Canis lupus familiaris: one gene and its partners. The main gene of each other region encodes a partner of the protein of the gene in region 2 in a complex. Links are inferred from orthologs where the notes say so. Each region holds a gene or a part of one and is shown on either strand. Other genes may lie near its edges. The genes, in order: PPFIA3, DIAPH1 and PFN2.

What was found.
Region 1: the proteins of DIAPH1 (region 2) and PPFIA3 are in contact, whole or in part, in a crystal structure (PDB 4UWX), measured with the Mus musculus proteins. The link is inferred for Canis lupus familiaris from reciprocal best matches to the Homo sapiens genes DIAPH1 and PPFIA3. Residues at the interface, in NP_031884.1 of Mus musculus: Lys252, Ser255, Ala256, Ile259, Gln307, Asn310, Ala311, Thr314, Pro315, Ala316, Glu317, Arg322, Gln352, Cys354, Val355, Glu358, Gln359, Glu362; in NP_084017.2 of Mus musculus: Pro719, Arg720, Arg723, Leu724, Arg726, Met727, Ala728, Ala730, Leu731.
Region 3: the proteins of DIAPH1 (region 2) and PFN2 are in contact, whole or in part, in a crystal structure (PDB 2V8F), measured with the Mus musculus proteins. The link is inferred for Canis lupus familiaris from reciprocal best matches to the Homo sapiens genes DIAPH1 and PFN2. Residues at the interface, in NP_031884.1 of Mus musculus: Ile635, Pro636, Pro637, Pro638, Pro639, Pro640, Leu641; in NP_062283.1 of Mus musculus: Ala2, Gly3, Trp4, Ser6, Tyr7, Asn10, Ala28, Tyr30, Trp32, Arg108, Met131, Tyr134, Leu135, Ser138, Phe140.

The regions. Positions count from the first base shown.
Region 1 is NC_049222.1:108,003,493-108,007,233, forward strand, and holds the start of PPFIA3 (liprin-alpha-3), read right to left. Parts: upstream 2,624-3,741; 5' UTR 2,478-2,623; intron 2,196-2,477; exon of another isoform or gene 1,933-2,195; intron 377-1,932; exon of another isoform or gene 364-376; intron 1-363. UniProt on the Homo sapiens protein: May regulate the disassembly of focal adhesions. May localize receptor-like tyrosine phosphatases type 2A at specific sites on the plasma membrane, possibly regulating their interaction with the extracellular environment and their association with substrates.
Region 2 is NC_049223.1:35,631,099-35,634,839, forward strand, and holds the end of DIAPH1 (protein diaphanous homolog 1), read right to left. Parts: intron 2,139-3,741; coding exon 1,981-2,138; 3' UTR 190-1,980; downstream 1-189. UniProt on the Homo sapiens protein: Actin nucleation and elongation factor required for the assembly of F-actin structures, such as actin cables and stress fibers. Binds to the barbed end of the actin filament and slows down actin polymerization and depolymerization.
Region 3 is NC_049244.1:45,210,295-45,214,035, forward strand, and holds the start of PFN2 (profilin-2), read right to left. Parts: upstream 2,332-3,741; 5' UTR 2,252-2,331; coding exon 2,120-2,251; intron 6-2,119; coding exon 1-5. UniProt on the Homo sapiens protein: Binds to actin and affects the structure of the cytoskeleton. At high concentrations, profilin prevents the polymerization of actin, whereas it enhances it at low concentrations. By binding to PIP2, it inhibits the formation of IP3 and DG.

The DNA of each region.
Region 1 (3,741 bases), on a different chromosome or scaffold from region 2:
CACTCTTGGTGTTATCATGTGTCTAGATGATAGACAGAAGGCAGAAAATAGGCTCTAGAATTCAGAACATGCCCTGGAGGTGGGGGGAAACCCTAGAAAGTAGCAAGGAGTTTGCCTGGAACTTAGAAGTGCCTGGGGGAAGATTCAGAAGCATGCTGGGAATTGAGAATTCACTGGCATAAGGACTGAGCTGGCAAAGGAAGGGGGGGAGAGATGTTCTGGAAATGAGGACATTTCTAGCTGAAGACTCCAAAAGAGGAGATGAGCCTAGAGCATGCTTAGAATGCTAAAGTGACAGATGGAGGAGGAAGCCCACAATCCTCCAGGAGATAAGTTCTAAACGAAGGTCACATTAGGGAAAAGATGGACCGAAAAGGTGGGAATGGATGAGCCTAGAACCTAGTACCTGAAAAAGGAAGATGCACAACACTTCAGGAAGAATCTTTTAGATTTAAGACTGTAGAACTGGGTAGACCTAAAATAGGAAAGTACATTTTAAAACTGATAGCAGAATGTGGAGAAAGGCTAGAGCACATAATTGGAACACACATATTCTAGAATATAGAATGCCCCTGGGAAGATAACAGAATCTAGAACAATGCCAAGGATGTGGCTGGAACCTAGAACACACCTAAAATAAAATTTAGCAGAGAATAAGCAAGTGCTAGTTTCTAAAAATTTGGAACATGTGTGAGGAGGAGGTGGGATCAGAATTTGGTTTGGGGCATTATCAAGACGTTTAAATTCCCCTGGGGAAACACATGCCTAGAATTTAGTATTTAACCTAGAATTGAGAATATACCGTGGGTGCAAACAGAACAGAGATATTGGCTGAGAGTGCTCTAAGATTTAGAAGGATTCTAGAGCATGTAAGGGCACAGTTTAACTGGGAATATGGAAGATAGTGGGTAGGTTCTAGATCATCTAATGAACCTAGGTCACAGAATACATCTAGAGGAAGGGGTGTATGTTTGGCCCATCATCTTGAGAAGGTGTACTCAGAGGATGGAACATCATGACATAGAAACATCATGATAGGGTGCTGGAAACATGTCAAGAAAGTAGGTCTCAGGGAACAGAGTAGAGAAAAAGAGAAGACAGCTCCCAGAGAGCCCAGTGCCTGAGATGATATGGGGATGAGGCATGTTGTTAGTTGTTAAGGCCACTAGAGATGTCAAGTTGATGGGGGTTGTAAGGCTGGGGGGACCTGGAATCCTAAGAGCAAGAGCTAATGGGCTAGATAGTTGGTGGGGGGCTGGACTCCTGAATCGTTGTGGAGATAAAGGACAAGGGATGGAAGCTGGGAGCCTGAGTCCTTGTTGGGAATGAGGGTTGCAGCATCTTTGGTGGGTAATACAGAAGCCGGGGTCTGAACTCCTGGGTCCCTGAGGGGATGCAGGACCAGGGACAAAGCATCTAGGTCTGCAAAAGGGAAGGTGGGCAGAAGCCAGAGAATTGCATTAAGAATTACATTCCAAGAGAGTCATGGTGCCTGAATCCCTAAGCAGGCAGATGTTGAGATGCCAGGAGGCTGGGTATATTTGTCTCGGGGGCACAGGGGACTGTTGAGCTGGGTCTCTAAAGGGGGTGAAAGCTGGGAAACTGGATTCCCAGGTCCTGAGCAGGTGGGGGTTACCAGTTGGGGCCTCAGCCAGACGGAGTGAGCACTGACAGGGCTTCCAGAGCCAGGTGGGAACTGGATCCCTGGATGCTAAGATCCCTAGGGTGGACCAGGCAGGAACATTCGGAAGCCCTGACTCCTCGAGAAGCAGCTGGGATCCCAGAAACCTGGGGTACTGAGCACTGGCCAGAGGCTCACCAGCGGAACCCTGAGGCCCAGGCGCCCAGGTCGGAAAGGGCCCGGGTATCTCCGGGTCAAAGGCGCGGCGGGGGGTATTCCCCGCGCCGCAGGCGCCCCCTCCCCGGCGGCAGCGGCCGCGGGAGGTGGGGGAGGTGAAGCTGCCGAGTGCGCTGACCATGGACAGCTCCGGAGCGGGCCTGTGTCCAGGGCGGCTGCCGAGCCGGCCTGGACCGAGGGACGAGGCTGGCTGTTCAAGCCGGAGGCTGGAGATGGGCACACCGGGTGCACGAATAGGCGACTATGCACACCCGACGGGGGGCAGCTGGCCCTAGCTGGGGGTCTGACACGGCCACGGCAGGTATTAGGAGCTCCGGGCTGGGCCGAGGAGGAGGATGTAGGTCCAGAGGGGGCTGCCGGGGCTGAACTGGGAAATCCAGGCTCCTGGGCCCTGGACGAGGCGCAAGGCAGCAGTACGCCTGGGATTCTAGGGTTCGGTTGGGGACTCTGAGAGCCGGGAGGGGCACGCCTGAGTCTCTGGGGTTGGGCTGTGAAATCTGGGCTCCGGAGCCCCCGGGGATAAAGAAGGGAGTCCAGGATCTCGGGAAAGCGAGGAAGGCTCGGCGAGGGGTCCCCGGGGTGGGCGCTGCCAAGCTGGCTGGGCCGGGCTCTTACCTACCTGGTCCGCGGCGGCTGCGGGCGGAGCTGGGCTGCAGGAGGGACGTGGGGTGGGGTGGGGGGACCGGGCGGGGCCCCTGGCGGCGGCCGGGGCCCGGATCTGTGGCTCCGGAGCCCTGTCTCCGCCGCTCGCGCGGGCTCCGCGTCTCTGGCTCCGGCTTGGGCGCTGGGGACCCCCCCTCCCCCTCACGGTCTCACAGCCCTCTACCCCCTAAAATAACCCCCTGCCCCTATCACCGTTCAGTCTCCCCCCGCGAGGCCGCAGCCGCCAGATCCAGGGGTGCCCACCAGCGCCCCCCAAATCCCACCTCCCCCCCAAAAAAAATTCCTCCTCCCTCCCCCCCCCCACCAGCTCCCGTGCGGTTGTGGCCCCTTTAACAGGAGACTGACAGACGGCTCTGAGTGGCCAATGGGAGGCGTCGTCGGAGCCGGCCGGTGGCTAAACCCCGCCTCCGCACGGACTGGGAGGGGTCGCGCGGGCGGAGAGCGGAAGGCGGGGCTCGAGGCGCGTCGGCCAATAAGCGTGCGGCGTGCGGCGGCTGGGGCGGGAGGCGGAGCCCGGCAGGGGGATGATGTCACCTGGAGCTAGTGGCGCGCGGCGTGGAATGCGAGTTGCGACCCCGGATCCCGGAGGTGGCGCGCGCCGGCCCTAGCGCCGCACGGGACGCGAGGGCTGGACCAGCGATGAGGTGGGAGTAAAGGGTGGATTTTAAGGCGGGGGCGGCTCCCGGAGGCACGCGCTCAGGTTGGAAGGTGGGGTGAATGCCGGGTCTGCGAGTGCACCTTGTTCTGCACCCCCTGCGCCCACCTCAGGAACTGCACGCGGCACTCCCACCCCCCACGCTGATGATAGTACGGCCTGCAGGGCTCCCCTGGCGAACGAAGCTAATGGTTCGCTCCACCCCGCCCACACAGAGGCCGCCCACCGGCTCTGCAGCTTCTCAGGTCTCCTCTGTCAGACCAACCACAGAAGGGGCTTGGCCTTCGCCCTCAGTCTCTCTTAAGGGCAGGGGGCGTTGTCTTTGGTTATGACCTCGCACTCGGACCCAGACAAGGTCCCAGCCTCTGCCTTGACTTATGCTTAGGAAGCCGGCCAGCCTCCACCATCAGATCTTGAGGGAAAGTCTCTACCTTTGCTCCCAGACTCAAAAGGGTTTCTTCCGGGCCTGTTCTAGACTTCAGCTTCTCTCCCTCCCCTACAGCTCAAGACACTCTAACCCCAGAATGCAGGACAGACACGCAGACAATCAGTGAGGGTCAAAGAT
Region 2 (3,741 bases):
GGCGGTGCAGAGGGGGGCGGGGCCTGCACTGGAGCGACTCCTCGGTGCACTTGGTGCAGGCTGTGCAGGCTCAAGGGCAGAGGCCCAAGCAGGGTGTTTGGCACATGACAGGCACCTTAAACTTTTTGACACTTATTTGTCAGGTCAACCAGGGATTTGGAAAACAGCTTAAACTCACAAAGCAGATGGTAAGGTAATACTGTTTCAATGCTTTATTAACAACTGGAAACAAACCCAATAAACTGGAGGTGATGACATCCCAGAAGCCCAAGAGGCAAGGGAAATAGTTTGCATTTTGTTTTTTGTGTATTTTTTTATTAAATGCATCTTAGCAAAAGTAGATTAAAAAAGAAAGGGTCAAAGCCCCAGATGTCAGCAGGGAGGAGGAGCAGACTCAGGGAGGCAGCCTCCCCCTCACCCCCACCTTCTAGGAAAGAGCTCAAAGGAGCTGCTGTTGCACCTTCACACACAGGCCTGAAGGCTGAGCCAGCACCCAGGTTCCCGGCCTGAAAGCCTCCCTGCAGGAATGCTTCGGTCGCCTAAGTCCCCCCTTTGCTCCAAAACTTGAATTCTGGGTAAGCCGTAACAGTACCATTCTCTCTCCCTACCTGGGGGGTGGGAAGCTGAAAGCACAAGGAGGGCAAAGTGTCACCTGGAGCCAGAGAACCTGAGCTTCCTGGAGCCGGGGCTACTGAGCAGCTTGGTCTGCCCACTGTTCAGAAGGGAGCAGGGCTATGCTGTGTGGCCATACTCCTGTGCTTACTTGCCCAGGGCCCAGTTAGCATTTGCACATTTGGCTTGATAAATATATTAAATTTATAAAAACTGTGGTCTCAGAGCTCCCATTATTCTTAGGCCTGGTTCAGCTCTACCAGAGAAGCTGTGCCCCAGAACTGGATAATGGGAGAGAGAATCTACACAGGCCAGGCTTAGGGCTGAGGCAAAGGTCCAAGGTCCTGCTCAGGATTGAGGCCTGTGGGGATAAATCCCAGGGATGCTGGGACCTTGCTATCAGAGCCTCTTACACTATGGAGGGGAAAGGGGAAAGGAATAGTTATTTTCTTTAAAAAAAAAAAAAAATCTCATATAAAAATAGATCCATTTGCAAAACAATTTCTCAGCCAGGAGGCTCCACCTCCCATTTCCTTGGAGACAAAGGGTGAGGTGTTGGGATGGTCACAGTACAGCCCATACTCCAGATGAGATGCACCAAAGCTTGGGGGAAGGTGTGAGCAGTGACCACGGCTCAGGAGCCCAGGCAGGTATAGAGAGTTCACAGAGGCAGAGTCATAAGACATGGCAGCAGGCTGGGGATGGGTCCCACAGTGTCTCTAGACATTGCCTCTCCACAGGCTCTTGGCCACCATAGAACAGATCAAGTGGTCCAGGTCCTTTTTGTTTTGGGAGGCCGTTCCCAGGAAGGTGCAGTAAGGGTGGGGCTTGCTCCCCACTTCTCTAGGCATGGCTCCCACGGTCACACCACTAGTAATAAATAACAATAACCAGGAAAGGGAACAGCAGAGCAGAGGTGACAGCAGTGAAAGGAGGGAGAGAGCCCAAAGGTGCACAAGCCCCATGCTGTTGGCAGGGCTCGAGAAACCACAAAAGAAAAGCACAAACCCAGTGAGATTGACCCAGGGGAAAGCCCACTGGAAAGGCAGGGGCTGGGAAAGCAGGTGGGGCCTCGTCTGAGACAAGGCCTCAGTGACAGAGAGGAGACACTTGGGGTTAAGGCAGCAAACACGGAGCCTGCTTTGGTAATACGACAGCCAGGCTGGCTGGGTGGGGCTCGGGCCTCCCTGCTCTGCCCTCTCCTGCTGGCCTCCCGGCAGCTGAAGCTGTGCTGATGGACATAGGAAGAGGGTCAGGGTGGTAGCAGCAGCCGCCCCAGAGGAATACTTCCGCGACCCTGGAGGCACATGCCACAGGACCAGACAGTCTGGGGCTCCTGGAGGAGCTGCTATGGCCGTAGGACCCAGCTTAGTTTGCACGGCCAACCAACTCCTTGGTTTCCTCCAGGATGGTGGGGACCCCCTCACTTTTCCTGGGCACCTTAGAAGGAACAGCAGTCATGGCGTTGTCCTTGGTCAGCTCCGAGGCTAGCAGAGACGTGACTGCACACCCGGCCTTCCTGTTGGCTGCAAAGAGGAGACATGAAAGAGCTTGACCACACAAGGCTCAATTTCCAATCCCTTTCCGACACTCTGGCAGAGGCTCAGCCTGAAGCCATGCGAACGAATGTGGCTGCACTCTCTGATTCAGGGAGGCCCCTATTTGAAAGCAGGAGGGGCGGGGATCCCAGAACACGGGGAAGAGATTTTCTCTGTGCAGAGAATGTTAAGGGCAGGGTGCAGGCAGGAGAGCGAGCCTCGCTCGTGCTTCCCTGGGTGGACACTACACGGGTGTCAATGCAGCCAGCCAGCCAGAACGTGGAGCCAGTCTGCTGTGTAACTTAAGGAGAAATTAAGTACTCAAAATGTGTGTTCTCATCACAGGGTTGTTGGAGTTAAATAGCCCCAAGGTTAGTAAAAGAGTATTATTTTTGTTTTCCTGGCAGCGTCCAGGGATCCTCCTGGGCCAAAACCATTTTCAGCCAGCCCTGCGGATGGCTGGCCCCAGCAGAGGAGGGCCTGCTGCAGGCTGCCCGGGGGGACTCCTGCAAAGAGGAGCACAGCAGCGGCCATGCACTGCCACCACATGCACATCACATTCCCCAGTGTTCCCCGAGCCTTCCTTTCCTCTCCCCATGCCTACATCCTAGCTCTTTCCTGTTTCTTCAAGGGCAGCAGCTGAGATACGCATGCCAAGGGCCCTACAAGGTATGTATGTATGGGGGGTGTGGGAGCGGGTGGGTCATGAGAGCTGTCAGGGAATGCAGAGCTGGGGTCAAGGAAGGCCAGGACCGCCCCCCACAAGGCAATCTCAGCCCAAAGGGCTAAGGGATTGTGAAGCTCCAGTTGTCATCTTAGGAAGAAAAGAACCAATCAACCCACGGGTTTCTGTTCTAAGACTCTCGTGTTAATTTATGGAATGAAGATACTGGGACCATAAATCTGCAGCACAAAGGCAGTTCCTTGGGACTGTGCCCAGCTCATGCTCTCTGCCTCTTCCCATGCCCTACAAGCAGCAGAGAGAGACCACATGTACACAAAGAGCTGCCTGCCGGGGCTGAAAGAAGCCAGACACGAAGGCCACATGTGCTAGGAGTCCCATTTCTATGAAATGTCTAGAATGACACATCCAGGGAGACAGGAAGTAGATTTGTGACTGTCAGGGGCTGGGGGAAATGACTGCTCATGGCGATGGGGTTTCTTTCTGGGGTGATGATGATAATCTGGAATTAGGTAGTGGTGATATCTGCACAAACTTGTTAAAATACTGAAGTACATACTTTTTAAAGGGTGAATTTTAAGCATTTGATTTTATCTCAAACCCCACTTGCTGGCTCGTGGGCAAGATGACTGAAGAAAGCAGCGCCTAAGGCTTAAAGCAGGGCCAGTGAGAGGAGCCCAGAGCTCTAACAGGAAGACGGCAGGGCTGGGGCAGCTCCAGGACATGCACGTGAAGGCGAGGTCCAGAGGAGGTGGCGAACGAAGCACCCAGAATACCTCTGCCTTGCCTTGTTTAGACCAGCAAGAAGCTTTAGACAAGACAGAAGCCAAACAGGGTCAGTAGGCCCAGCTTTTCAGCGGGGCTGTCAGCTTCTTCAGAAATGTGACGCAGCACCACTGTGTTCACACG
Region 3 (3,741 bases), on a different chromosome or scaffold from region 2:
ACTGGCTGCCCCGACCAAAAAAAAAAAAAAAAAAGAAAGAAAAAAAACATGAAGTTGTAATTAATTCCTTTCAAGGTCTCCATATAAGTGGAAAAACTGTGTGCTAAGTCTGTATCCTACTAGAGGTCCTTCCCCATTTCACTAGTGTAACATGAAGTTTGTCTTTTCCAAAGAATTACTTAATCCTACACGGCTGCATGTTTTACATCACTTTGTTTCACAGGTAAGGTACTAACTGAAGACCAGTCTATGCGAAGAATCTATGTGGTTGCTAGCTGACACCAGGTCAACTGCAAACGGAAAGAGATTATTTATAAACTGTTTCAAGTCAGATGGCACCTGAAGGGCTTATGTAATGGTAAAGCTTCACCTACAAACTCTTTCAGCAACTGCTTGTCTGTCACATTCAGGCACATTACAGTCACGCTGCATCAAACTTCCAGTTGCTTGAAAGTCTCCTGAAATAATGCCCATGCTCAGCAGACCTGTCCCCGTCTCCTCTGCTTGAAATGGCTTGAACCGCCTTCCTGGTATGGATTTCAAACCCTAGACCTCCACACACTCCCAAATTCGTATTTCCCTCCTCTCTATTTCGCCAGCCGCTCTCTTTATCCTCTCCCACTTCCCCTTCCCCTCCCACCTCAGTCAGTCATCAGTTTTCTTTCTTGGCAGATGCAGGAGAGGATTCTCTTGGTAGGTAGCATTGCAGTAGGAAAGGGAGAAAACAAAAACAGAGCCACCACCACCAACACACACACACACACACACAAAAAAAAGAGAGAGAGAGAGAGAAAATGGAGGGAGACTGGGAAAGCAACTGAGGTAGTCCCCCGAAACCGGAAAGGAGAAAACGTGCATTCTAACATTCCCTGAATAAGGAGGAAGGCGTCGCCCCCATCAGAACTGCAGAGTCATAGCAGGCCCCAGCCATTTCCAAGCACATTCCCCGCAATCCTCCCAGCCAGACAGCGGGAACTCGCACACAAAGACCAGGGCACCGCAGGAAAAAAGTTGGTCGCCAGACAGATGCCAATTCTCTGGAACCGCTGTGGTCCGCTGCGGCTACCGGAGACCTCGAGGTCCCCGCACCCGGGGCGGACGCCCACACACTCAGATCCTAGAGCCGGGCTCACCAGGACGCGAGAATTAGGGGCACCCGTCACGGGGGGCCTCAGGCTCGGCGTGGGATGGGAGAGGAGCGTGGGGCTCGGAAATTACGGGAACGCTCCCCGTGTCTGACACAGCGTCACGGCTCAGACGAGGGCCCTGCGCACAGAGAGGCACAGCAACAAAGCGGCACCGGAGGCCGAGGAGCCGTCGCCCCCAAACATGTGGCGACCGAGTCCACGCCGGCGAGTCACAGGGAGCCCGGGCCCCGCGGAGCGTAAACCTGCATCAGTTCCTTCACGATGCCCGCGGCGGGGGGAGGGACCTGGGGCAGCCCGGCGTCCCCTCGGCCGCACGGACGGCCGAACGCCCCAGGAGCGCGCCCCCCGATGCCAGGGCTGGGTTGCGTAATTGGGGATAACGGTGTATCGATGAAATCTCCACAGGAGGAGGAGAGAAATCAATGGCAGTTCGCCATCTTGGGAGAATTTAAGAAAAAAAAAATAATAATAATTCAAAAAAAAAAAAAGCCCTATAGAGCCAGAGGCGAAGTCGAGATTCGCGAAGCTCCCTCTGCGTGGCCGGCGTCCGTGGCTCCCCAGCCGCAAAGGCCTGGACGCCCGCGAACCGCCGCAAAGTGGCCGCGAGGGGCCGGGCGCCCGGCGGCCGCCGCCTCCCACAGCCCGCGCGGCGCGAGGGGCAGCCCGGCCGCCGGAGGATCCCCCCCCCCCGGGGCCCGCGTGCACCCCGGGCCGTGCAGGGCACAGCGCGGGGCTCGCGGGAGACCACAAGCAGCCGCCCCCCCGCCCGCCCCCCGGCCCCGGCCGCCGCGCGCCCCCTCCCCCAGCTCCGCGGACCGGCGCCCCCGGCCTCGGCCGCATCCTCGGCGCCGGCCGCTCCCACACCTGCCGCGCGGCCCTCAGGGCGGCCCCCGCCCGGCCGGCCGCGCTCGGGTCCGGGGACCGGGACGGGGACGGGGACGGGGCCCCGGCCGGCCGCCGCCGGTCCTCACCGTGATGCTCTGGAAGACGCCCCCGGCCGTGGCTGCCCAGACGTATTTGGCGTCGCAGTAGCCGACAATGGCGGCCTCCTGGCAGCAGCCATCGCACATCAGGTTGTCCACGTAGCTCTGCCAACCGGCCATCTTCGAGCCCTTCGCACTGCAGCGGGGACGGCGAGGAGCAGCAGGCGCAGCGGCGGCGGCGGGCGGCGGGCGGCGGCGGCGCGGGGGGGGCGGGGCGGGGGCGGGGAGGAGGCGGCTCTGCGCAGGCACCGACCGCCCCCCTCCCCGAGGCGCCGCGGAGGGAGGACGCGGGGACGGCGGCGAGGGGCGACCGCGGGGCGCGCCCGGCCTGCCCGCCCGCCCGCCCGCCCGCCTGCCCGCCCGCCGGCCGCCGCGGCGCTGACTGACCAGCAGCGGGGACGCCGCGCTCGGAGCGCCTGTGCGGGCGGCGGCGGCTGCTCCTCGCCGCGGCGCCTCAGCCTGGTCCGCGGCCGCGGCGGAGCGGGCGTGCGCGTGCCCGTGCGTGTGCCCGTGCGCGTGCCCGTGCGTGCGATCCTTCCGCGGCGCCGCGCCCGCGGGGGTCCCGGCCAGGGAGGCGGCGGCCGAGGCGGGGGCGCGGAGGGATACCGCCGAGGGGGACAATCGCGGCCGCCACGTGCGGCGCCGAGGCCCGGGCGTCTCCTCGCCGCCTCCGCCGCCGCCGCCTCCTCCAGCCGCGGGGCCGGGGGGTGGGGGGGAAGCCCGGGGCCCCCCGCGACCGCGCCGTGGCGCGCCGCGCGGCTGGGGATGCGGCTCCGGGGCCCGCACGGCCGCGTTGCCCGGGCGACGGGATGGGAGCGTTCGGCGGGGGCGGGGACGGCGGGACCCTGCGGCGGGGCTGCCCGTCTCCCCGCGACCTCTGGGCGCCCCGAGGGGACGCCCGACCAGGAGGTCCCTTTTGGGTGAACGGACGCGACCCGCCAGCCGAGGGAAAGAGGGAAGCGCGTTCAAAACGCCGAAAAGTCCGTTTTCGAATTTAAAGGTCACGGGGTGTGACCTCGGGAGAGAAGACAAAAAATGTTGCTGAAGCAATTTAATGGGTTCTAAAGTTTTCTTTCTTTCTTTTTATTTTTTATTTATTTTTTTAAAGGTAGAATATTTTTTTATTTTATTTATGATAGTCGCAGAGAGAGAGAGAGGCAGAGACACAGGCAGAGGGAGAAGCAGGCTCCATGCAGGGAGCCCGACGTGGGATTCGATCCCGGGTCTCCAGGATCGCGCCCTGGGTCAAAGGCAGGCGCTAAACCGCTGCGCCACCCAGGGATCCTTTTTTTTTTTTTTTTTTTTTTTAAACCCCTGCTGTTTGCTTTAAAATTTTTCTGAAATCAGCTACTGCAAGGGGGGGGGGGGAGCACACTAGGAGGAACCCTCCCCTCCCCCCCCCGCAGGAACCCCCAAGTCAGGAACCCAGGAGATGGACACGGTGCATTTTTCTCATGTTCTGATGGTAACAAAATACCTACGAGGTACAAAATGTGAGCCAAAATTGTTTTCGTTTTTTGCAGGTGTGCCGCCCACCTGATCCACTTACACTTGCTGGTTGGCTACCTTACCTCTTTGTAGTGGTTTTGATGGTTCTAATCCTCCAGTCT